Sus scrofa: one gene and its partners. The protein of the gene in region 3 binds, or shares a complex with, the protein of the main gene of each other region. Links are inferred from orthologs where the notes say so. Each region holds a gene or a part of one and is shown on either strand. Other genes may lie near its edges. The genes, in order: LRRC32, ITGB8, TGFB1, NRROS and TGFBR2.

What was found.
Region 1: the proteins of TGFB1 (region 3) and LRRC32 are in contact, whole or in part, in a cryo-EM structure (PDB 8VSC), measured with the Homo sapiens proteins. The link is inferred for Sus scrofa from reciprocal best matches to the Homo sapiens genes TGFB1 and LRRC32. Residues at the interface, in NP_000651.3 of Homo sapiens: Leu30, Ser31, Thr32, Cys33, Lys34, Pro325, Pro327, Tyr328, Ile329, Trp330, Ser331, Leu332, Thr334, Gln335, Tyr336, Val339, Leu342, His346, Ala353, Pro354; in NP_001122394.1 of Homo sapiens: Ser135, Tyr137, Glu158, Ser160, Thr162, Val184, Met186, Asp187, Ile188, Glu189, Asp190, Phe193, Leu202, Leu204, Arg206, Asn207, Ser208, Leu209, Thr210, Cys211, Ile212, Ser213, Asp214, Phe215, Ser216, Leu217, Leu223, Leu225, Cys227, Ser229.
Region 2: the proteins of TGFB1 (region 3) and ITGB8 are in contact, whole or in part, in a cryo-EM structure (PDB 7Y1T), measured with the Homo sapiens proteins. The link is inferred for Sus scrofa from reciprocal best matches to the Homo sapiens genes TGFB1 and ITGB8. Residues at the interface, in NP_000651.3 of Homo sapiens: His117, Thr241, Arg243, Arg244, Gly245, Asp246, Leu247, Thr249, Ile250, His251, Gly252, Met253; in NP_002205.1 of Homo sapiens: Ser156, Ala157, Ser158, His160, Asn161, Asp213, Tyr214, Asn215, Leu216, Gly248, Asn249, Ile250, Asp251, Thr252, Glu254, Gln286.
Region 4: the proteins of TGFB1 (region 3) and NRROS are in contact, whole or in part, in a cryo-EM structure (PDB 7Y1R), measured with the Homo sapiens proteins. The link is inferred for Sus scrofa from reciprocal best matches to the Homo sapiens genes TGFB1 and NRROS. Residues at the interface, in NP_000651.3 of Homo sapiens: Leu30, Ser31, Thr32, Cys33, Thr35; in NP_940967.1 of Homo sapiens: Phe194, Glu195, Ile196, Glu197, Gly198, Gly199, Phe201, Leu210, Leu212, Pro218, Cys219, Ile220, Val221, Asp222, Phe223, Gly224, Leu225.
Region 5: the proteins of TGFB1 (region 3) and TGFBR2 are in contact, whole or in part, in a cryo-EM structure (PDB 9FKP), measured with the Homo sapiens proteins. The link is inferred for Sus scrofa from reciprocal best matches to the Homo sapiens genes TGFB1 and TGFBR2. Residues at the interface, in NP_000651.3 of Homo sapiens: Arg303, Lys309, Trp310, His312, Tyr368, Tyr369, Val370, Gly371, Arg372, Lys373; in NP_003233.4 of Homo sapiens: Phe47, Leu50, Phe53, Asp55, Ser72, Ile73, Thr74, Ser75, Ile76, Cys77, Glu78, Val100, Asp141, Glu142.

What each region holds. Positions count from the first base shown.
Region 1 is NC_010451.4:10,812,702-10,817,562, forward strand, and holds the start of LRRC32 (leucine-rich repeat-containing protein 32), read right to left. Parts: upstream 3,192-4,861; 5' UTR 2,704-3,191; intron 2,101-2,703; exon of another isoform or gene 2,012-2,100; intron 1,978-2,011; exon of another isoform or gene 1,810-1,977; intron 1,787-1,809; exon of another isoform or gene 1-1,786.
Region 2 is NC_010451.4:89,442,592-89,446,861, forward strand, and holds part of ITGB8 (integrin beta-8), read left to right. Parts: intron 1-2,382; coding exon 2,383-2,546; intron 2,547-2,640; coding exon 2,641-2,763; 3' UTR 2,764-4,270. UniProt on the Homo sapiens protein: Integrin alpha-V:beta-8 (ITGAV:ITGB8) is a receptor for fibronectin. It recognizes the sequence R-G-D in its ligands.
Region 3 is NC_010448.4:49,341,533-49,345,802, reverse strand, and holds part of TGFB1 (transforming growth factor beta-1), read left to right. Parts: intron 1-1,490; coding exon 1,491-1,651; intron 1,652-3,138; coding exon 3,139-3,256; intron 3,257-4,270. UniProt on the Homo sapiens protein: Transforming growth factor beta-1 proprotein: Precursor of the Latency-associated peptide (LAP) and Transforming growth factor beta-1 (TGF-beta-1) chains, which constitute the regulatory and active subunit of TGF-beta-1, respectively.
Region 4 is NC_010455.5:133,492,804-133,497,621, forward strand, and holds the start of NRROS (negative regulator of reactive oxygen species), read right to left. Parts: upstream 3,416-4,818; 5' UTR 3,180-3,415; intron 1-3,179. UniProt on the Homo sapiens protein: Key regulator of transforming growth factor beta-1 (TGFB1) specifically required for microglia function in the nervous system.
Region 5 is NC_010455.5:16,846,500-16,850,769, reverse strand, and holds part of TGFBR2 (TGF-beta receptor type-2), read right to left. Parts: intron 2,772-4,270; coding exon 1,972-2,771; intron 319-1,971; coding exon 177-318; intron 1-176. UniProt on the Homo sapiens protein: Transmembrane serine/threonine kinase forming with the TGF-beta type I serine/threonine kinase receptor, TGFBR1, the non-promiscuous receptor for the TGF-beta cytokines TGFB1, TGFB2 and TGFB3.

The DNA of each region.
Region 1 (4,861 bases), on a different chromosome or scaffold from region 3:
CCTCATCCTTTGGGTCTTAACTTGGACGTCACCTCCTCCAAGAAGCCTTCTTGAGTTCGCCACGTCCGGGCCACGTTTTGGCCCCTCCTCCAGCACTGAGCCCTCTGTGGCTCCCGGAGCCCACCCCCAGCCCCCAACATGGGAAGTGCCCCCAGGCAGAGGGGCCTCTCTCTGCTCTGGGACCCATCTCACACGCTCCCTCCAGTGGGCAGGCTGGGGAAGGTATGAGAAGTGACACAAGGCATCACTGGGGTGACACGGCGACCTGGCGAGAATGGTTGTTCTGAGGTCCCCTTCCTGTCACACTCCTTCCCGGCTCTGTCTGCTCTCCTTAAAAAGTATTCCGCGGCTCTGCCTCCCTCCCCCATCACTGCCGCAGACTGAGCATCTCCAGGACCCTGGGCCTTGACCCCAGCAGCACCCTGTTTCCAGCCCGACCTCTTTCAGTCTGTCCCACCCAAAGCAGCTGGAGCGATGCCTTAAGTCATGTCTCAGATCACGAAGCTCACTGCTTGAAAACCTCCCACAAAATCCAGGCTCTCCACAGTCTCCTCTCTCCCGTCTACCCTCTGCCCTTCTCTCACCCACTTCTGGCTTTCACGCCATTCCTCAAACCCAGCAAGTGCATTCCTGCCTCAGGGCCTTTGCCCTTGCTGCTGCCTCCACCTGGAAGGCGCTTCCCAGATCTGCACACGGCTCACTGTTTTCCTCGCGTGGATCATTTCCACTTACTTCTTATTCTATGAGATCAGGGGTCTGGGAGGCGGGGCTCACTAAAGATCTATGGGACAATTAGCAAAGCCAGGGTTAGGTGTGCACGGCAAAGGGCGGAGTGGGAAGTGCAAAGTGCAAGAAACGAACAAGGAAGGACCTGGAGCAGTTCGGAACTTGAGGGCATCGCTGCCCAAAGGGGCCCTCCTTTTCCCCTCCTCTGCCTAATTCCACCCTAGCCCCAAGGCGGGCATCTGAGCATCCAGGAGGGACCCTCCCTGCAGCAGGTGGAACTCCGCCCTGCCATCTGACAGAGAGAGAAGGCCCGTGGCTGCGGGCACCCTTCATCAGCACCCAAGACACAGTGCCTAGAATCTGAAGGCTCAGAGGGAGGACTGGGGTCCCTGAGACCCAGGCTCCCATCCAGCCTCTACTGCTCACCAGCCCTGCTCCCTGGGCCAAGTCCCTTCACGTTTCAGTGCCTCAGTGTCCCATCTGCAGGGCAAGGAGCCTGGTTCCTGTTTTGCCACCTTTTGCTGCCAATGGTTGTGATAATCAAGCCGAGAATGGCTGTGAACATGCCCTGGACATATATTGTGTCTCCCAGCGGGGACAAACCCTTGGGCTGAGCCGCCCAGACAAGGAGAGAAAGGCTGAAGGGGAGACCCCAAGCCTGAAGACAAGTGGCCCAGAAGAGAGGAGGCAGGGGACATCCTAGAAGCCTGAACTTCAAGAGAGAGAGAGAGAGAGAGAGACACGAGGGGGAGAAATGGGGTGGGGGCGATGCCTAATACCACACTAAGCCCACTCCTACTGTTTAAGGACGTTAGACACTCCTCTAAGCACGTGACCCGTATCATTTCATTTCACTCTCACAACTCCAATGAAGTAGTTACTACAATTTCCATTTTACAGATGAGAACACTGAGGCTCAGGAAGGCGAAGTGACTTACCCCACAGTTACCCAGCTCATAAGCCTGATGGGATTCAGCCCAGGCCTACATGGCCCCAAGGCTGTGTTTTCTCCAGCCCAGGCTGAGCTGCCTGCCCCAACAGTATCTGCCCATGAGGAAAACCAGGCTCGGAGAGGTGACTTACCCAAAGTCACACAGGCAGGAAATGGCAGAATCGGGAGTAGAATCCAGTCTGTCTGCCTCCAGAGCAAATGGTTCCACAACACCAGGCCCAGATCTCACTCCCCAACCCCCTCTAATGATCCTCTAACCTCAACACACACACACACACACACACACACACACACAGGCTCACGGGGCTGGGCTCTGGGACACGCCTCTCCCACCTCTCAGCTCCGATCACCGGCAGAGTGGGGTCCTGGGAGAGCTGCTGCTGCCGGTCCCACCAGGCAGTGAATCACTAAGGGCAAGGCCCATTCTGGAGACATGTGCAACCCACGGGGGAATTAGACCTTAACCCAAAGGAATGTGGCTGTGATGGCGGAATTTCAGGCAGCTGAGGGTGGGGGCGGGGGTCCCTCACATCCTACCACCCAGGAAGACGGCTGGCTGCGGAGCCCCTTGGAGAGAGGTGGGTGCCCCGCCCCCCCCACCGCCCCCCACATCCCAGAGACAGGCAGGCTATCTGGTGCGGTGGAATGGGAAGACCACGTCCGGCCAGGGTCAGAGGGTGGGCCGAGGCCGGGATGCGAACCCTGAACCTCCCCGGACTCGCCGTGTGTTCCCTGGGCAAGGGCCGGCCTTTCTGCAGTTGTTTTCCCATCTGTCAAATGGGACCGCCAGCCTCGTCGTCCTTCGCGGGACAGATCTGCTGAGCTAGGAGCCTCGGAGACGTCAGGGGCCGAGGGAGGTTCAACCCTGGCTCCACGCGCGACGCAGGGGACCGCGATAGGAGGGGCCTGTTGGGGATCAGCGTCTGGGTGGACTTGCCCCAGCTCTGCTCCGCGCCCTGGGCTCCTGAGGGGCGCGGGACCGCGGGTTCCCCGAGGGCCAGCCTCGCCCGCCGGGCGGCTCCTACCTGGCTCAGCGCGGCCGCCGCTCCTCTCCCGGGCAGCCCCGGCACATTTTGCGCGAACCCGCCCGCCCCCCGCCCCCCGGCTCCACCCCGCGCCAGACCCCGGGGTCACGGCCCGAGGAGGTGCACAGCCAGTCCACCGCCCCACGGGAGCCCGACCCGCGAGGGGGCGGCTCGGGCTCCAATTTAAATAGCTCTCCCGCCGACCCGCCCCACCACGCCCCCCCTCGGGCCAGCCGCGGGGTCCTAGCGCCCGCCCGGCGCGCCCCCGTGACTCGGTTTATCCGGACCCCGCCAGCGGGAGAAGCATTTTCCAGAAGCTGAAACCCGGCCGGGGAGGGGGCGGGATCCGAGGGCGGGGAGGGAGAGGGGTCGCTGAGGAAGCGCAGACCGAGAGAGGCCGAGCCCGGCCACCACCGCACGTGCAGGTCGGGGCCCCGCGGGGTCCGGGGGGCGGGTGGCTCTGGGAGCCGCAGGTCCGCAGAGGAAATCCGCCCTGGCCCCGATTTCCCCCGGCCCGGTAGGCGCCGCCGCACTGAGGGGGGAGCACACAGGAGAGGTGCCGGCAGCGCCGAAGGCGGAAGGAAATGACCTTTCACTGGCCCTGGGGTGGCCGCAGAGGGGGTTCCCCACACCGCAGCCACCCCACCCCACCCCGCCCCGGGAGATCCAGGCCCGTCACTTCTCCTCTCTGGATGGTGCTCTAGGGCCTAGACCCGTCCTCCTCCTCCCCGTCTCCCGGTTCTGTGAAAAGGTGTCACCAAAGTCCCCAGAATCCAGATGGAGAAACAGGCCAGGGAGGGGCATGGCGAGGATAAATAAAAACCAGTGCCAGGGTCTGGGGAAACTGAGTCCAGCGAGGTTAAATGGCTTATGCGAAGTCACACGGATTCTAAGAGACAGGGATTTCAACCCAGTCTGTCCCCAAAGCTAAGGCCAGGCCAAAGTGGGGGCCCTTTTCCAGGCACCATCTTTCTCAGGTTGGCTCAGAGCGCTGTGCAAAAGCAGCCCCGGTGGCATCATTCTTTTACACCAGAAGCTGAGGGTCATCTTCCCCAAAGCCACCCCCTCTCCTACAGGCCATGGCCCTACCAAATCTAGCTACCGTGCCCTGCTGGGTGGGGCCCCCTGGTAGGGGTGCCTAGGGGCGGAGGGGCACAGCTGTCCTCCAGTCCTCCAGACCTAGTTCCGAGGGCAGAAGAGAAATTGTCTTCCTCGATGTCTCGCTTCCCTGATGGTCACAGCCCTGAGGGTGGCACAGGTGCCCCACTTTACAGTTGGGAAGTTGGCCACCCAAAGCCTTGTGGTAAATCGGGGTGAAGCTGGACTTAGAAACTGAGGTCCCTGAACTCTAGATGGCAGCTGCCTTTCGTTGTCGCCCCCCGCCCCAATCTGGCTTAATGTGGAGGACAAGCCTGGGAAGATGGGCACAGCCCAGAGCAGGGCATCTGTGATAGCTGGGAGGGGCCTGAGCTGCAATGAGGGCCAGGGTAGGAAAGGTTGCAGGACCTGGGAAGGGTGCACCCCCCCAACCCACAGGTTCTAGATCTAGAACTTCAGATCTAGGCTGAGGGAGGGCCCCTCTGGCCTTTGCAACCCTCTCTCTGGGCTTTAGTGCTCATCTGGTCAAAGGAAACCTCAGTTTCCCCATCTGTAAAGTGGGTAAGATGGTAGCTTCTTCCCTGGTACTAAGAATAGTCCCAGAACTAAGAATAACGGACCTCTCGCTGTCTTTATTGCAGCGAGATTCCTCTGCCACACCCTGGAGGCTTCCTTTTCCAGATCCTTGTCCAAGGGAAGCACTTCGTGGTAGTCCTGCAGCGCGGGCAGAGCATGGCTGAGTTGGAGTCGACAATTCCCGGCCTCTCGGGACCAACCCACCCCCTGCCCCCCAGCCCATCAGCGCCACCTCACTCTCTTCTGAGCTGCTGCCAAGCAGAAACCGCTGGGCTGGTGCAGAGCTTTGGCTGGGGTAGGGCGGGGCAGGGGCTCTGGCGGGCTGGGGGTTGGGGGAGCAACCGCCTCCCCGCACCGCCCCCCCCAGCCTGTGGTTGTGGTTAGTCAGTTCACAGAGGTCCACCTCACTCAGTGCCTGGATGGGGCACCCCAAGAGTTGGAGACAGATGGGCAACCAAGCGTACCTACCCGCTGCAGATGCCTC
Region 2 (4,270 bases), on a different chromosome or scaffold from region 3:
CCCTCTTACAAAATTTCCCCAAGCCTCAATTTCCCTATCACTAAAATGGAGATAATAATACCAACTTCAAAAAGTTGTATGAACATAAATAAGCCAGTGAACATTAAAAAAATAAATTAAAAGATGATACATGAATGAAACAAACATGAGGAAGCTGTGTTCAAAGACCATTTTATATAAAAGTTCATTAGAACCCAAAAGCCAGCACCTCATTTTGTGTAGGTGTAAGGTGTTAAACTACATGTGAATTAGAAATGAAGCTTGAAATCATGTATTCAGTGAAAACATTCTTACTACCGCTAGTATATCTAGTTTCTCCTCCAACCGGTAAGAATAATTCCAGGTCTTAAACAGATTGCACATAATAAACTCTCTCCAGTGTTTTGTTTCCCTCTCCCCTCACAGTGACAGTAATCTTAGCTCACTGAATTTGGCTCTGAAAAGAGCCCTGCCAGCTGGGGCTGAAGCAATCACACCCGAAAGCCAAATGCCTTTGCTAATAAATAGAGCCCTATTGTCAACATGTCATTTATTAGGTTAAGTAAACAAACCTACTCTGACTTAAATATGGTTACAAAAAGTATTCCCTTAATGCTCCTTAGGAAAAGACCTTGCTTAACCTAAACTAAGAAAAGAGTCATGGCCAGAGCTAAATGTTTGGCCCTCCAAAGCTAAAAATTTAAGACTGCATACAGATTTGAACCCTGAAAATGTCCTCCAACCTAACTCATTAGAAATATTTGTAAAATGTATTACTAGCTAGGGAATCTCTCCTCCCCTTCACAACTGCTGTGCAAGGAGAGGGAACTGCATTTTTTTTTTTCTTTTTTTTTTAGCTACCTCTATTATCTACCCACTTGATCACACTTAAAGGGTATTCTTTTGATCTTTCTGGCTAAGGTTCTACTAGGCAAGAAGCCAATAAGTGAGATCAAGCCACATGCCCTCTTAGCTGATTAAGCAGTTACAAGTCACTGAAGGGAAATGAAAGGCGTGCATGTCATGAACCCAGGCACCACCAAGAACACCACCTTTGAATAGAGAGGGCATCTTGGATTCTCTCTGTAAGACTGCAACAAAGGGAGACTTGTACTTGTGTTTAGTGCTTCTATTCCCTTTAGCCTTTCCTTCAAGGAACCTTATCATTACAACCAAGAGAAAACTGGGCTCTAAGTCTTCCCACTTGGCGAAGAGCCCTTGTCCTTGTTACTGAGTTCTTGGCTTATTCAAGAACATGCTTGGTCCTCCCTCGGAATTCAAACAGAAATCACTCTTGATTGGGTGACTGCTCTTCTAAGCCTTAGTAGGTCCCTTCTCAAAAGACTTCCCAAGAAAACTTTTAGACATTTAGGTGAAGTCCTCAAAGTTTGGAGAATGGGCAGAAAACACACGCTTCTTTAGGCCAGAAGGTAATTTTATGAATGTGGAGCAGGTGGTGAATTTTGTGGAATACTTGTGCATTGCGCAACCAGGTTCCTCTTAGACTAGGGTAATACCTCTGGCAGCCACAGAGCCTGTAAACTTTCCAACTCAAGTTTGCCAAGGACGTAGGACTGAAACAGAGACCTAGCATGCCCCTCCTCTTAATGCAGCATTTCCTTTTCCAGCTAGTAATTATTTGTTCTTGAAAAAACATACAGTGGAATTTTTAAAAGCAAAATAGAATAGGTTTGGTCAACAGACAAGTGAAAACTAAATTGACAAACACTGAGGAAAGAGATTTCGGTTTTATTGTCCCAAACTGTACACCCCCACTTCCTGAAGAAGCTATGTGTAATAATAATGAAAACTTGCACTGCAGTTTCAAAGGAAACATTTATTCATCTATTAGAGTAGTAAAGATTTTAGCTTCTGCAGATGTTTATTTTCCATTACTGATGTGCAACAAATGAAGAGAAAGCCTAACAAGAGAAATATATGCTAATACACAGAGCTGTTAAACATTTTTTTAAATCCTATTTTCCACTTAGTGATCAAGTGGAAATGATCAGTAGTGATCAGTGTGTAGTGATCAGTATACACCACAAAAACCATCCCTCTCTCTGTCATAAATAAAATGATACTTAGTTAAAGGGATGTGGACATATCCCAGTTAATACAATTAAGGAAATCAAGCTGCAGAGAAATAATCTTATTGAATACCTTAACTGTGGCTATTGTCCAAAGGAGAGTTTTCTGTTGAAAATATTTTATTAATGAGTGTGTAATAAAGTTAGTTTACTTTTTGAATCAACAGTAATGGCAGTCCTCTTTTTGAAAACGTAGATTTGCACAATATCTATGATCCTATTAATAGAGACAATGAACATTATTTACTTGTTAGAATCCTTTGGTTTATTCATTCCAAATTTTTAACCCATTTATTTGTTTGCTTCTTTACAGAATGTTTCTCTAGCCCGAGCTATTTGAGAATATTTTTCATCATCTTCATAGTTACATTCTTGATTGGGTTGCTTAAAGTCCTTATCATTAGACAGGTTATACTACAATGGAATAGTAATAAAATTAAGTCCTCGGCAGATTACAGGGTATCAGCCTCAAAAAAGGTCAGTGAATTCTAAAAAAGGTTTACTATCAGTATGTTATTGTCTAGTTTTAATATTTAGGCTCTTAATTAATGAATATTTCTTCTCCCTCAAGGACAAGTCAATTCTACAAAGTGTTTGCACAAGAGCGGTCACCTACCGACGTGAGAAACCTGAAGAAATAAAAATGGATATTAGCAAATTAAATGCTCATGAAACTTTCAGGTGCAACTTTTAAAAAGATAAAAAAAATGTACTTTATGGGAAACTGGATTTTTAATAATTGCTCCTACAAATTTTTTGAGAAGTCACAGAGGAGACAAATTTTCCAGATCATGCCAGTTGCTAGTATTTCACTCGATTGAAGACTGACAAGCATCCTCATCATCATGTGACTCACACTGCTGCTGAATTTTTCAGAGAAAAATGTGTCTTACTACTGTTTGATACTAGTGTCATTGTAGCACTTTACTGTAATATATAACTTATTTAGATCAGCATAGAATGTAGATCATCTGAAGAGCACTGATTACACTTTACAGGTACCTGCCATTCCTACACTTCTCAGAGGGACAATGCTGTGAGATAGTTTTGGCATTGTGTCACTACAAGGGTACAGTAATCCCTGCACCAAATATGCAGATGGAAAAAATAATAAGGCAGTCATACTAATGTTGCCAAATACTTCAACAATTGGCAATGAATAAATAAGAACAGCTAGATGAATAAATGGTTAGTTTTTACTCATTCAAGAGGAACAGATAATACCTTAATCTTGAGGGATACTGCTTTTCAAAGTGTAGTTTTATGCATGTGTGTTTGTTTCCTTCTTTTTATAAGATGGATACTAATTCCAACGTTCTTTCCTCTTTGCCTTTATATTTTGGTTTTCTTTCTTATAAGATAGGTTTATATATGTCACAGATGACTGGATTAAATAAGTGCTAAGTTACTACTGCCATAAAAACCTAATAATACAATGTCACTTTATCAGAATACTGATTTTAAAAGCTGAATGTTCAATAAGGGAAACAGTCAACTAACATCAAAATCTGAATAATTTTGTTGCTTGCATGTGTGGAGTTTTACATCTTCTTACCTTGTAAACTGGATGGTTTTCATCATTTCCTGTATCTAAACATCAGGTTGAAATTCCCAAGATATTAAGAAACTCTGCCTAAAGCAAGTGCCACACTTTCAAATGTGTTTTCTCCAATATTTACTCAAAGTAGAGAATAGCATTTTTCAAATTAAAAGCAATATTAAGCTATATTATTTTTGCCCTTTGATGCAGTATAAAAACATTCTTTTCCTGAATCACCACAATTCCACCCACCAGAATTCTAAAAGTGTACAATTGGAGGCAGCTAGACAATATTTTAGAAATAAGCTAATTCACCCTGTCAGTCAGTCAGGGAATAGAGGCTCAGAAAGTTTAAATGATTTGTTAAAAACCCCCAAGTGACTAAGTGACAGGAAAGAGAACTATTTTCTTATCATCAGGCCAGTGTTCGACTACCTCTTGAATCTTTAAACTTTTCAATTGGCAAGTATTTTAAAATGTGATTTACTGAAGTTTTAAGTATATGGCCATGAGAAAATTTCAAGGCAAAGCAGAAAAAAGTAATTCAAAGAAAATTGTCCATGGTTGCTTCTAGTTTTTCTGCTAATTAGCTTCTAAGAGACTTCATCATGGCCTAACTAGAGGGAAGTCCATTCACACCATAATCTGTGTGAATGGCGCC
Region 3 (4,270 bases):
ACTTTTTCTAGATTAGAAGACACTCTTCCTAATTTTCTCTGTTCCCTTTCCTCTGCCCTTGAAGCCATTCCTACCTAGAATGAACTTTGCCATCTCTATCCAGCTGAGGGAGGAAGCAATTATTAGTAATAACAATAACAAGAGTAAGGTCATATTAGCAGGGAGGCAGCATAGTCTAGGGGTTAACAGAGTCTCTGGAATCAGACTGCCTGAGTTGGAATCTCCATTCTGCAGTTTCCTAGCTGTGTGGTCTTGGGGCAAGTTGCTTCATCTCTTTGTGCCTCAGTTTCCTCACCTATAAAATGGGTATAATAACAGTATCTTCGTCATGGGGTTGTTGAACACACACATTGGTGTGACCACAGTATGCAGTCTCTTTGCGACATGCTTTATCTGCCATCATCTCACTTATTTCACACTGTCATCCTGCAGTCAGTCCTTGCCTTACAGGGGAGAATCTGGCACAGAGAGAGGAGACCAAAGGTACACAGTGCTTCAGTTAGGAGAGCCTGGGTTGAGAAGCAGAGAACTTGATGTCAAGTTGATCTTTCCTAAAGAATAGGAAACTGGAGTTCCCGTCGTGGCACAGTGGTTAACGAATCTGACTAGGAACCATGAGGTTGAGGTTCGGTCCCTGCCCTTGCTCAGTGGGTTAAGGATCCGGCGTTGCCGTGAGCTGTGGTGTAGGTTGCAGACGCGGCTCGGATCCTGCGTTGCTGTGGCTCTGGCGTAGGCCGGTGGCTACAGCTCCGATTCAACCCCTAGCCTGGGAACCTCCATATGCCGCGGGAACGGCCCAAGAAATAGCAACAACAACAACAACAAAAGACAAAAAAAAAAAAAAAAAAAATGAATAGGAAACTGAGGCGCCAAGAGGGAATGTGACTTGCTCAAAGTCACAGAAGGCAGTAGAGGCACACAGTCTGATCCAAATGCCCTCAATCCCTATGCAATGTAACTTGCATTTGGGGAGTTCAGTGGCTTGGCAGTTTAAGAAACTGACTAGTAGCCATGAAGATGCGGGTTTGACCCCTGGCCTTGCTCAGTGGATTAAGGATCTGGCATTGCCACGATCTGCGGCTCCCTCTGGCATTGCTGTGGCTGTGGCGTAGACCGGCAGCTGCAGCTCTGATTCAACCCCTAGCCCAGGAACTTCTGACCCTAAGAAAGAAAAAGAGAGAAAAAAAACCCATAACTTGCATTGGCGGCTGTAAGTGCTGGGGAGGCCTGAGTAAGCAGAGCAGCCCCCACCCCGGTGCCAGCCTCGTACTGAGGGCACACTTCCTGCATGGTGGGAGGGGAAGGTGGATGAGACCTCGATTAAAGAGGAAGAAACAAACCCAGAGAGAAGCCCGGTGCCCAAGGTCGCACAGCTAAAAAGCGTCTGGTGGGGGGGCTCCAACCCAGTTCTGTCAGCCCTTAGACTTGGGGTGTGCCAACCCTCCTGTGCCTGTTAAGCCCTAACATCCCCCCTCTCCGCTCCTGCCTAGAAATCTATGATAAATTCAAGGGCACCCCCCACAGCTTATATATGCTGTTCAACACGTCGGAGCTCCGGGAAGCGGTGCCGGAACCTGTATTGCTCTCTCGGGCAGAGCTGCGCCTGCTGAGGCTCAAGTTAAAAGTGGAGCAGCACGTGGAGCTATACCAGGTGGGGGTCTGGGCCCCAAAGGTGGCCTGGGCTGGGGCAGTGCTGTGGTGGCTGGAAGGCTGGTGGCTACCGAGATCCACACAGATGGACCCCGAAGGATGGGGTGGTGGGCACAGACACAGTGCTTTCCGACACCTATAGCCTTTGGACGATAAACATTTAGAAGGCCTGAATCTTAGGAGTTGGACTCGAAGAACTCAGGACTCCTGAAAGTTGCAATCTCTGGAAAGGTTGGAGACTCAAAATGCTCTGTCCCACACAGCAGCCACTAGCCACGTATGGCCATTTAAGTTGTTCAAATGAAATGAAAGAGGGAGTTCCTGTTGTGGCTCAGCCGTAACAAACCTGACTAGTATCCATGAGGTTGCAGGTTTGATCCCTGGCCTCGCTCAGTGGGTTAAGGATCTAGCATTGCCGTGAGCTGTGGTGTAGGTCGCAGACGTGGCTCAGATCTGGCGATGCTGTGGTTGTGGGGTAGGCCAGCAGCTGCAGCTCTGATTAGACCCCTAGCCTGGGAGCTTCCATATGCTGCGGGTGCAGCCAAAAAAAAAAAAAAATTAAACGAGAGAAAAAATTCAGTTCCTCAGTCTCACTGACCGTATTTCAAGTGGCCCATAGTCACATGGGGTTAGTGGCTGCTATTTTGGACACCACAGATAAAGAACATTTCCATCAACACAGAAAGTTCTTTGGATAGCTCTGTTCTAGAAGATTTAGAGTCTCCAGGAAGATTGGGTCCTCCAGAAGGACTGGATTCTCTTGAAGGTCATGTGAGCCAGAATCCCTATCAGGTAGAATGTTCTATTCCATAGCAGGTGGTAGACTCTTTTCACAAGGAACTTTTAGTGTTAACTTCTTGGAGTCTAGAGAACCTGGCTTCGTGCTGCCGACTTCCAGGGGTCATTCCACAGGGAGGGCAGGCATCTGCAACATCTAGGTTGGTGACACGTCAGACTCCTGGGTTTGTAGAACTTTAGTCTCATAGAATTTCTCAGGCTGATTGAACAGGTAATTCCGGGGTGCTCCCCGAGGGCTGGAGTTATGGAATGACTTCTAACATAAGCCCCCAGAAACCCCTATAGACTTTTGGTGTTCGGGTGGCCAAATTTCCAGAACTGTATAGTTAATAACCCTCACGATGTCTGGAAGGAGAATCATAGCCTCGTGGGCTGTCCAGGCTGAAAGGGGCCTGGCATTTCACCAGTGGGGAAACCGAGGCCAAAGCGGGAGAGGGGTTTTCCAGGGCCATGCCTGAGGTCCAGGGTGGAGGCTGAGCTGCCCATGTGCCTTGACCCCAGCCTGGGGCTCTCCCTCCCCTGCGGGCTGCTCTGGGCCTGGGCAGTTACTGGGGGGCCTCTGTGTGGATGTCTTCGAGGGGGCTGTTGGAGGGCCGGTTTGGGGAGCGGGTGGAGGGAGGGCTGCAGTGGACATGGGGGTGAGTGGCGGCATCTACCCACTGTTTCCTCCCCAAATTCATCATCCTCCAGAAATACAGCAATGATTCCTGGCGCTACCTCAGCAACCGGCTGCTGGCCCCCAGTGACTCACCGGAGTGGCTGTCCTTTGATGTCACCGGAGTTGTGCGGCAGTGGCTGACCCGCAGAGGTGAGGACCGCTTGTCTGCCCCACCCCTATTTTGTAATAGCCTTGAGCCCATTGTTTGTCCTGGGATTGCCCTGCCTAGTACCCCCCACCCCATGTTGGTGCCAAAGAGCCCGGGCCTGGCCCTCTTCCCCAGACACTCAAACCTGAGTGATGAATGGTTAATCCGTTTCCTGAGCACCTGCCCTGTGCTGAGTGATGCTGCGGACACTGCAGTGACCCAAACCGCCCCATCCTTGCCCTCGTGGTAGGGTGAGGGGATTTGGGGAAAAAACCTAAAAAAGCTCCCTGGTGGCCTAGCTGTTAAGGATTCAGTGTTGTTGCTGCTGTGGTTCACGTTCAGTCCCTGGCCTGGGAACTTCTGCATGCTGTGGGTACGGTCCCAAAAAGTGAAAAATAAAAACCAGGTAGTAATGTCCCAGAGTTGGACAGGATTGGGATGGGGAGCTCAGAGGAGGGCCTCTGAGCCAGACCAGGAGGTCAGGGAGGGCTTCCTGGAGGAGGGGACATTGAAGTGGGTGTCTGGGGTTTGAGTGACCCAGCCTGGGGAGGAAGGAGGGACAAGAGTGATCAAGGCAGGAGTTCCCATTGTGGCTCAGTGGTGACAAACCCATCTAGTATCCATGAGGATGTGGGTTCGATCCCTGGCCTCGCTCAGTGGGTTAAGGATCTGGTGTTTCTGTGAGCTGTGGTGTAGATCACAGACATGGCTCAGATCCTGCATTGTTATGGCTCTGATGTAGGCTAGCAGCTGCGGCTCCAATTCGATCCCTAGCCTGAGAACCTCCATATGCCACAGGTGTGGCCCTGAAAAGAATAAAACAAAAACAGGAGTTCCCGTCGTGGCGCAGTGGTTAACGAATCCGACTAGGAACCATGAGGTTGCGGGTTCGGTCCCTGCCCTTGCTCAGTGGGTTAACGATCCGGCGTTGCCGTGAGCTGTGGTGTAGGTTGCAGACGCGGCTTGGATCCTGCGTTGCTGTGGCTCTGGCATAGGCCAGTGGCTACAGCTCCGAT
Region 4 (4,818 bases), on a different chromosome or scaffold from region 3:
TCCCAAGGGCTACCTTGTGAAGAAAAATCCCCTCCGGATTCTTTTCTCTCTTGGAAAAAGCAACAGAAAATGTCTTTGGGCACACAGCACAGCACCTGACCAAGGTGACCTTGTGGGTTGAGGCCGGAGGTGGGGAGTCCCTGTATCCTGGCAGGGCTTTTGTGGCCACGTGGAGCCCATCACTGGCTCCAGCCCTGCTCCTCATGCACACCTTGCTGGTGAGAACTGCCTCAAGAACTTCCTCCTTTATTCCCTTTCTTCAGTCTGAAATTACTCATGCATTAAAGTGAGACAACACCTGCGGTTTGGTCGAAGCCCCTGACTCCATTCTTGCTGGAAATCAGTTGGTTTTTCCTACCCACATTTATTCCTCCTTCTGGTAACAGCTCTTCAATTCCCCTCTGAGGAAACCACCCCTTCCTTTCTTTTCTTTCTTCCTTTTATTTTATTTTATTTTTTAGGGCTGCATCTGCGGCATATGGAAATTCCCAGGCTAGGGCTCGAATTGGAGCTGAAGGTGCCAGCCTACGCCACAGCCACAACCACAGTAACGCCAGATCTGAGCAGCGTCTGCGACCTACACCATGGCTCATGGCAATGCCAGATCCTTGACCCACTGAGCGAGGCCAGGGATTGACCCCGCATCCTCATGGGTGCTAGTCAGGTTCTTTTCCACTGAGCCACAATGGAAACGCCTCTTGTTTTTTAAAAAAATTTGTATTTGTGGTAAAATACACTAATGTAAAATTTACCACCTTAACCAAGTTTGAGTATAGAAATGATTAGTGTTAAGTACATTTATATTGTTGTGCAAACAACCCCCTTCCTTTCTTAAAGAGTCCATGGATCCAAGAGGAGGCTAATGAATACAGCTGGGCTCATCAGAGCCTCCTAATTCCTTAACCACAGTGCTTGCTTTATAATGGGTACATCACAGATGCCACGCCCATGAGTATCAATCTAAGGATTTTTGTTAGAGCTATTAGAAAAGAGCCTTTCTCTTCCTGCTTCAGATGCCAAACTGATGGGAATTAAGCTTAGAGTTTCCAGCAGCCAGCTTTGCCAACAACTTTAGGATCTGCCTGATAATGAAGCCTACATAAAGGAAAGCAAAATTATGAAATGGAGATGGATGGATTCCAGGTAATGTTTGAGCACCCAGATCCAGCCATGCCTGAAGCTATTTCCCACTGACTTTTTGGTTATTTGAAAGAATAAATCCTCTTTATTTTCCCCCTTCCACTGAAACCAAGCTGAGTTGGGTTTTTGTGATTTGCAATTAAAAGACCCTTAAACTCAAGTTGATAGTTGCTTGTGAGGCTTGATAAGATCTAAATATCAATGTCCTTTCCCCTCCTTCTCACCTCTCTGAGCTTTCAGAGATCATCATCTAACCTACCTCAGAAACCACTACATATTGAACACATGACATCTGTTTGATGATGAGACTGAGAAGAATAGTTTGGTGGGGGGAGGAATGAGCATAATAAAGAAAATTACTTGTCACCAATGTGTAGATACATCAGTGAGCATATCTGAACACACAAGCGTGTCCTAAGAATGATAAGTTTTTCCAGTCATGGGTGAAAGTCCACCCTCCTCTAATGGATGTGGTTACAGTGTGAATCTCAGCATGATGTGAGGTACATCTACAGCTCCATCCAAGAGTCTAGCTCACCTTTTGTGATATGGATGCACACTGCAGCCAGAACACAGGTTATGATCGGTACCAGCAGCACTCTTTGAAAGACTCAAAAGACTAGAGACAGCCAGGTCAATGCACTCCTAACATGAGCCCCCAGGACAAAGACACCAGGAGCTGGCTGTTTGGAAGAAGGCTCCTGCTCTTGGGTGCAGAGTTTAAGGACTCTGTGGGATCAGGGTTTTCATGAAGTTCCCACGAGAGCACCCATTAGATGAAAACACCTTTTTGTGAAGCAGGTTTTGGTTTTCGTTTAACCTAAAGAGTCAAGGTCCTCCCCCAACCCCGGGGCCCATGCTTCTATAACCCCCTCTAGGAACTCCCAAACATACATGTACACACCTATGGGGTGTGTGAGGAAAATAAGTAAGTCTCAGGACTATAAAGCCAAGTAAACCATCAACATCCACAGAAAGGTGTGTACAGCACAGCCAGTAATAGGTGAAGGGGGCACAGATCTTGGAAGGCTGGCTCTTTAAACTCTGAATGATTCTACCGCCCAGACTCCTAATAGGCTGCACCCAGCATGAAAGAAACCTCCAGGGGAATCCCTTCACTCCCGCTGGAAGTGCACCACCCCAGGCCAGCCCTAGCCAGGGGCTCCATTCCTAGTACCCGGCTCAGCCTCCTGGAGTTCCCGCCACAGTTGGGCACGTGGCCACCCCCCTCAGCGGGCAGTGACCTGGCAGCGCATCCTGAGTGCAGCACACAGCCTGCTCGGGTGCCTCCTTACTTCTGTCAGCTCCTGGGTGCAGGAGGAATATATGCGGAATCCAGCCCACCTGGAGACGCTGGGAGGGGCTGCAGAAAAGCGCTGGTCAAGGGGGTCAGAGAAGCCTGGAGTCTAGTCTCCAGGCTGTGGGATTCAAGCAGCAGAACCCTAGGGAACCTCTCAAGGACACACGCCCTGTGGGGAGGGGGCTTTGCCTGTCTGTTTCACAGCTCTACTCCCACCCAACACCTTGAACTCTGACTCGCCTACACATGGAAGATATCCATAAATACATGTTGGTGGTGGTGTCTCAGGGTCTTCATCTATGAAACTGTGGTTGTGGGATCCACGTTGTGGGGCAGGAGAGACAGGCTGAAAGTTCACAGCGTAGCCTCACTACATCCAAGGACATCACTGTTCCCATTTCACAGATAAAGAGACTGAGGCTCAGGCATACTCCCCACCAGCCACAGGGATCAAACCCAGGTCTGACTCTGAAGCCCTCCGTGTTTCTGCTACACCACGCCACCGTTTTCAGCTCTAAGTCTCCTAGAGGAAGGTATTAGCACCTCCACCCAGAGCTGGAGCTCTCAAACCAAGCACAGAATTGCTGGAGCTTGGATGCAGCAACCCACAACTTCCCCGTCAGCCCCGAGCTGTGGGCCACGGGTGCTGACCTCCCGCCTCCCCACCTCGCCTGAGCCGCCCGCCTCCGGAGGGGCCGCGGCCGCCGGACCACGAGGCTGCCCTGCGGGAAATACTCACGGCTCCCGCAGGCCCAGGCGGCTCCGCGGGGCGCATCCTCTCCCGGGGCTCCCGCCTCCTCCTCCTCCTCCTCCTCCTCCTCCTCCTCCTCCTCGAGAGCAGCCGAACGCGGGGCTGGGCTGCCTGCTCTCTCTGGGGCATCAGATTATTTTCGCACTTGCGGAAGGAACTGACGGAAACTGAAGTCACATGGAGAACAAGCTGCTCAGCGACTCAGCACTCACCGAGAGCAGGCATCTCAGAGGGAACTGCCGCCGCGGGTGGGTGGCGAGGGGGATGGGAGGGGGCGGGCGCGCGGGAGGCAGTGGCCTCGGGACTACCTGCTGGATTGGTTGCGAAAGGGGTCAGATATTTTCATGGTCTCCCAGCAGTGCTAACCAAGGCTCCCCGGACTTTCTTGCAGAGCTGGGGGGCCTTTGCCTATGAGCTTTGCTGACCCAGAAACTCTTTTTCAAGGTTATACCCAAGGGTCAAACTGGAGCAGATTATGAGAATGGGTAGGATACAAGGTTCCCAATTGGCAGAGAGTCATCCAGCCAGTCTTTATTGGACTCCAGCCCATTATAAAAAGAAGAAGAAATGGAAATTGCTCTGTGCTGGACTGTCAGGGTGCCATGAACGTCTTGATCATAGGCAGCAAGGATGAATTTTTGGGTACCTGATGTGCACAAAATTCCCTGCTAGCTCTTGCCAAGAATTCAAAATAATAATTGAATTCATAATAGCCACCATCAAAGGGGTGCCAGGCCCTATGCTAAGAGCTCCTTATGCATTTTCTTACAGCTCCTGTTCTCCGAAAACTTACCATCTAGTAGAGGAGCAAAAGATTTGCCGTGTTGGCCGAATGCAGAATGAGTAATGCAAACAAGCACTGGGGAGTCAGAGCCAGGATCTCCAGTTCTGCTCTGTCCCATCAGATCTGGAGAGCTGAAGTGTCCTGGAGGGCTGGCTCGCATCTCTTGTAGCCTGGGGATCTGTGATTCTGTATTGCATTATTATTGCCCTCATGTCAATCCTAAGAGAACAGGAGCAAGTGGAAGGACATGCCCCAAACATCCAGTAAGTTGCCTCTGCTCCCTAAAATATTCATTCATAATGGTAATAATGATAACACCAATGACAAAACTAATAGATTGTCACAAACCAAGGTTGTCTTTTCGTCCTTGTTCTCCTGGCGTGCACATTTTCTACTTCCATGTCTTTTGTGTCTACCAGTATGTTCATTATTCCCAAATTGTCATTTCTAGCTCCAACATTCTCTCCCAAGAGAGACAATCGAGTCTTATATTTTTAATTGTCCTGGTTAATGTCCCAGCGTAGCAGAAACGCAATGTGTCCCAAACTGAACTCATCCTTTAGCCTATTTGACTGTCACTATTTATGGCATGCCTCCATCCCAGCAGTCCAGCCCTTGGAGACTCCAGCCCTCGTATGCAATTGGTTATCCATCCCAGCCGATTTTAAACCTTCTCTTCATCCTGCTGCTACTGTCCTGGATCTAGACCTTATCAACTCATGTCTGGATCATTTCCATAGCCTCCTTCAACTGGGATTGGATCCCTGCCTCCAAAGTAGGCACCACCTAGTGGCCCTGGGCATCTTTCTAAAATGTATTTTGAATCATCTCACTCCCTACTCA
Region 5 (4,270 bases), on a different chromosome or scaffold from region 3:
TCTATGCTCCAAACCTGGCTTTCATTCTGGAAGGGCTGTGTCCTACCAGATCTCAATTGGCTCTCACTGCAGATTAACTCTTTTGTCTCCCTGGAATTGTGCTGAAGCAAAGGGCATGACATCATTTTGGAGGGCGTGTCAGGTACCAGGGTGCCATGGCGGTGGTCCATGCCTACCTCCCACCGCGTTGCAGCGAGACGTCATCTCCCAGAGCACCAGAGCCATGGAGTAGACATCCGTCTGCTTGAAGGACTCAACATTCTCCAAATTCATCCTGGACTCTAGGACTTCAGGAGCCATGTATCTTGCAGTTCCCACCTAAAGCAAAAGCAGACATTGAAGCCCATCACTGCATGCCAACTGCATGTCTCTTTTCAACATATAGCTGCTGTTTGTCCCCTACTTGGGTAGTTGGTCTTTAAAAGCACAGTGCTTTTACAAATAATGAGACCTGCACAGAAAAGCACAGTTTTTGTAAGTATTTTTTTTAAAGTAGGTGTTCTCTCCCTGAAAACCTGTTAAAGAATATCAAGAAAAAAAATGCCAAAATAAGGAAATACCAATCCCCAGAGCTGCTTTGTCTAGCCCCCTGACACATGTCATCCTATTATGTATATAATAACATCCCTGCAGAGAACCTGAGATGACGATGGTGATACTTTTGATATTTACTTTTGTTTTTGTAAATTAAATACATTTTCATTCTTGAAGCTTCAAGGTAGATGGTGAAAATAATAACTGCCATTAATTTTTTGCCACTTGAGTTCAATCTTCTTTGTGTACCCCATGGCATATTCTGATGTCCCCAGGATGTCGTATAATTTCATAAAATCTCTGCTAAATTGAATTGTATGAAAGTATTTCCATTAAAAGTCCAAACGTGGATCATTTTATAATTTTGATGGGTATGTCATGGGTATGCCATGTCGTTTTATTTGAATGATGACTGATATTCTGAAAATTCTGCAATACATAGGAAAAAAGAAAAAAACATATTTCTAGGGGAAAAAAAAAATTACTTGAATGTTTCATAATGCAGCATGTACAGACTGACTAAATAGCAATGAAGCCCTGCCTTGCCAAAGATCCAGGGAATATCTATCAGTTGATAATAGTATCCCAAATAATGTTTTTTATTGCAATGCATTAGAAAAAAAAATTCTTTTAATCAGTCATTGCATGACTCCTTACCCTGTGGCCAGTTAATCTGTTTCAACATGTTTACGTCAATACTGAATGTGCAGTCATGGACCCTGAGGGCTGCCTGAGCAGAGCCTAGAGGTTTCAAAAGCACATCTCTCCACTTGGCTAGAAGGGCAATATGCTCGCAAGACACCACTCTAATCCACAGCTGGTCCGGCATGTGAAACACAGGGCCAACTTTCATAAAGGATGATGGTAATTTTCGTCTGTTCCTAATAGCTCCTTAGCCAGAAAGGTTTTGGTTTTAATTTGAGATGTTTCAAAAGGGGAACTGTTCCTTCACCCCTCACTCACTCCACAAATACTCATTGATCACTTTCCCTGTTCAAGGCATTGTGCTGGGTGGGACCAAATGGATATGGATTTGGACTTCAAGGAAACTGCCTTCTAGAATGATAAAAAAGAAACCCATATAAGGACCAAGAGTACAGAGCAGAAAGGGCTGAGTACAATCCTAAGACCGGAGAAAAAAACAGATAAAGATACAGTACTAGCAGGGTTGGAAGCAAAAAAAAAAAAAAATGTCCAAATGGGAGAGACATGAGGATTGACTCAAGGAGAAAAAGCCCATCCTGAACTGGGAAGGATCTAGGAACAGGAAGAGAAAAGCTGTTGGTCGACAAAGGCTCCCTGGCAGGAGCATGGGACATGGCCAGGGTTAACTGCTCGCTTGGCTGGATCCCTGGACAAGTGTCTGAGCTCAGGGCTGATGGAGATAGCGGGGGCGGGGGGGGGAAGGACCAAGGGGAGGGAACTGAGCCACCCTACCTGCCCACTGTTGGCCAAGTCATCCACTGACAGAGTGGGGTCCAGCCGCAGGGAGAGGCCGAAGTCACAGAGGCAGCAGGTGAGGTCACCTTTGACCAGGATGTTGGAGCTCTTGAGGTCCCTGTGCACGATGGGCATCTTGGGCCGGCCGCACAGGGTGTGGTCGCTGTGCAGGTGTGCAATGCCACGGGCCAGCGAGCCGCCCAGCCTGCGGAGGTCCTCCCAGCTGATGACGTGGCGCGTCAGATACTCCTGCAGGTTGCCCTTGGCGTGGAAGGCAGTGATCAGCCAGTACTGCTTGCCCAGCTCTGTCTTGCGTTCCTCAGCTGTCAGGAACTGCAGGATGTTCTCGTGCTTGAGGTTGATGTCCGAGAAGATGTCCTTCTCTGTCTTCCAGGAGGCATACTCCTCATAGGGGAAGATCTTGACAGCCACGGTCTCGAACTGCTCAGATGTGTTCTGCCTCAGCTTGGCCTTATAGACCTCGGCAAAGCGCCCTTTGCCCACCAGGGTGTCCAGCTCGATGGGCAGCAGTTCCGTGTTGTGGTTGATGTTGTTGGCACAGGTGGAGCTGATGTCGGAGCGGTCATCCTCCAGGATGATGGCCAGGTGCTCACTGAACTCCATCAGCTTCCGCGGCTTCCCTGAGTCCCAGGATGGGCTCAGCTTCTGCTGCCGGTGGACACGGTAGCAGTAGAAGGTGATGATGACGGCGATGGCGATGCCTAGTGGTGGCAGGAGGCTGACACCTGTCACTTGGAAGATGACTAACAGCAAGTCGGGGTTGTTGGTGGCATACTCTGCAGTGGAAACACAGGAGAGAAGGAGTTGGTTCAGTGGGTGCACAGTGGAGGGAAGTGGGTCCACACCTTGGGCAGCATAGGTTTTACCATCTGCATAGCTTTTATGGATAACATATGGTAACTTGTATTCCTAGGATGGATGCTAGAGTGCCCTTGTCCAGTCTCCTCTGCCTCTGTGTCATCTAGTCAATGCCTCTTACTCTTCCCTCAAAACCCAACATCAACCAGAGAATTGTGCATGAGCAGGTCACATACCGTGGGACCTCCTTCCCTCACCTGACCTTTAAAAATGCTTTGCTGGCACTGCTCATAATTGCCAGGACATGGGAACAAACTGGATGACCACCAGCAGAGGAATGGATAAAGAAGATGTGGGAGATATATACGTGTGGGTGTGTATATATATAATCTATATAATTATGTAGTATATATATGTTATATTATTATAATAGTATTACATTATTATATATTATATATATAATGGATTATTTATCACCCATAAAGAAGAATGAAATAATGCTGTCTACAACAACATGGATCGACCTAGAGATTATCAAACTAAGTGAAGAAGTCAGAAAGCAAAATATCGTATGATATCAGTTATGGAATCTAAAATATGAGGCTGACAGCTATAGCTCCAATTGGACACCCAGCCTGGGAACTTCCATGTGCTGGGGGTGCGGCCCTAAAAAAAAAAAAATATATATATATATATATATATATATGATACAAATGAACCTATTTATGAAACAGAAACAGTCTGACATTGAGAACAGGCTTGTGGTTGCCAAGAGGGAAGGCAGTGTGGGAGGAAAGGAGTGGGAGTTTGGGATTAGCAGATGCAAAGTATTACATACAGACTGGATAAGCAACAAGGTTCTACTATGTAGTACAGAGAACTATATCCAATATCCTCTGATAAACTATAATGGAAAAGAATATGAAAAAGAATATATATATATATATATATATATATATATAACTGAGTCACATTGCATAAACTTAGTATAACTGAGTCACATTCCTGTAAAGCGGAAATTAACACAACATTGTAAATCTATTATACCTCAATAAAAACACTTTGCTGAAAACCCTCCAGAAGTTTGTGGTTTTGGGGGGCATGAGCCACCCATTTTCCTTGCACAGTCCTTCCTCTGCTCCAAAAAGCAAACAAAAAACAAAAAACCACAAACTCAGCCTAAGTGTCATTCCCTAAAGGAAATCTAGGAAAACCTGGGAAAATGTTCCATTTTATACATTTTCATAGCACGCCACCTTTTCCTATGTAATGAGTGAGCACAATTTGATTTAAATAACTACAACTCTACTTTTTGGATTCCTATCTCTTTCCCTACTTCCCCATCACTGGCCGGCTGAGAGCACCACACTGGCAGGGACCATGTATTTCTCCTCTAGGACCATAACCAGTGCCTACAAGTATTCAGGCATTGAGGAAATGGACAAAGCATTTACTGAGTGCTAACTAAGCACCAAAC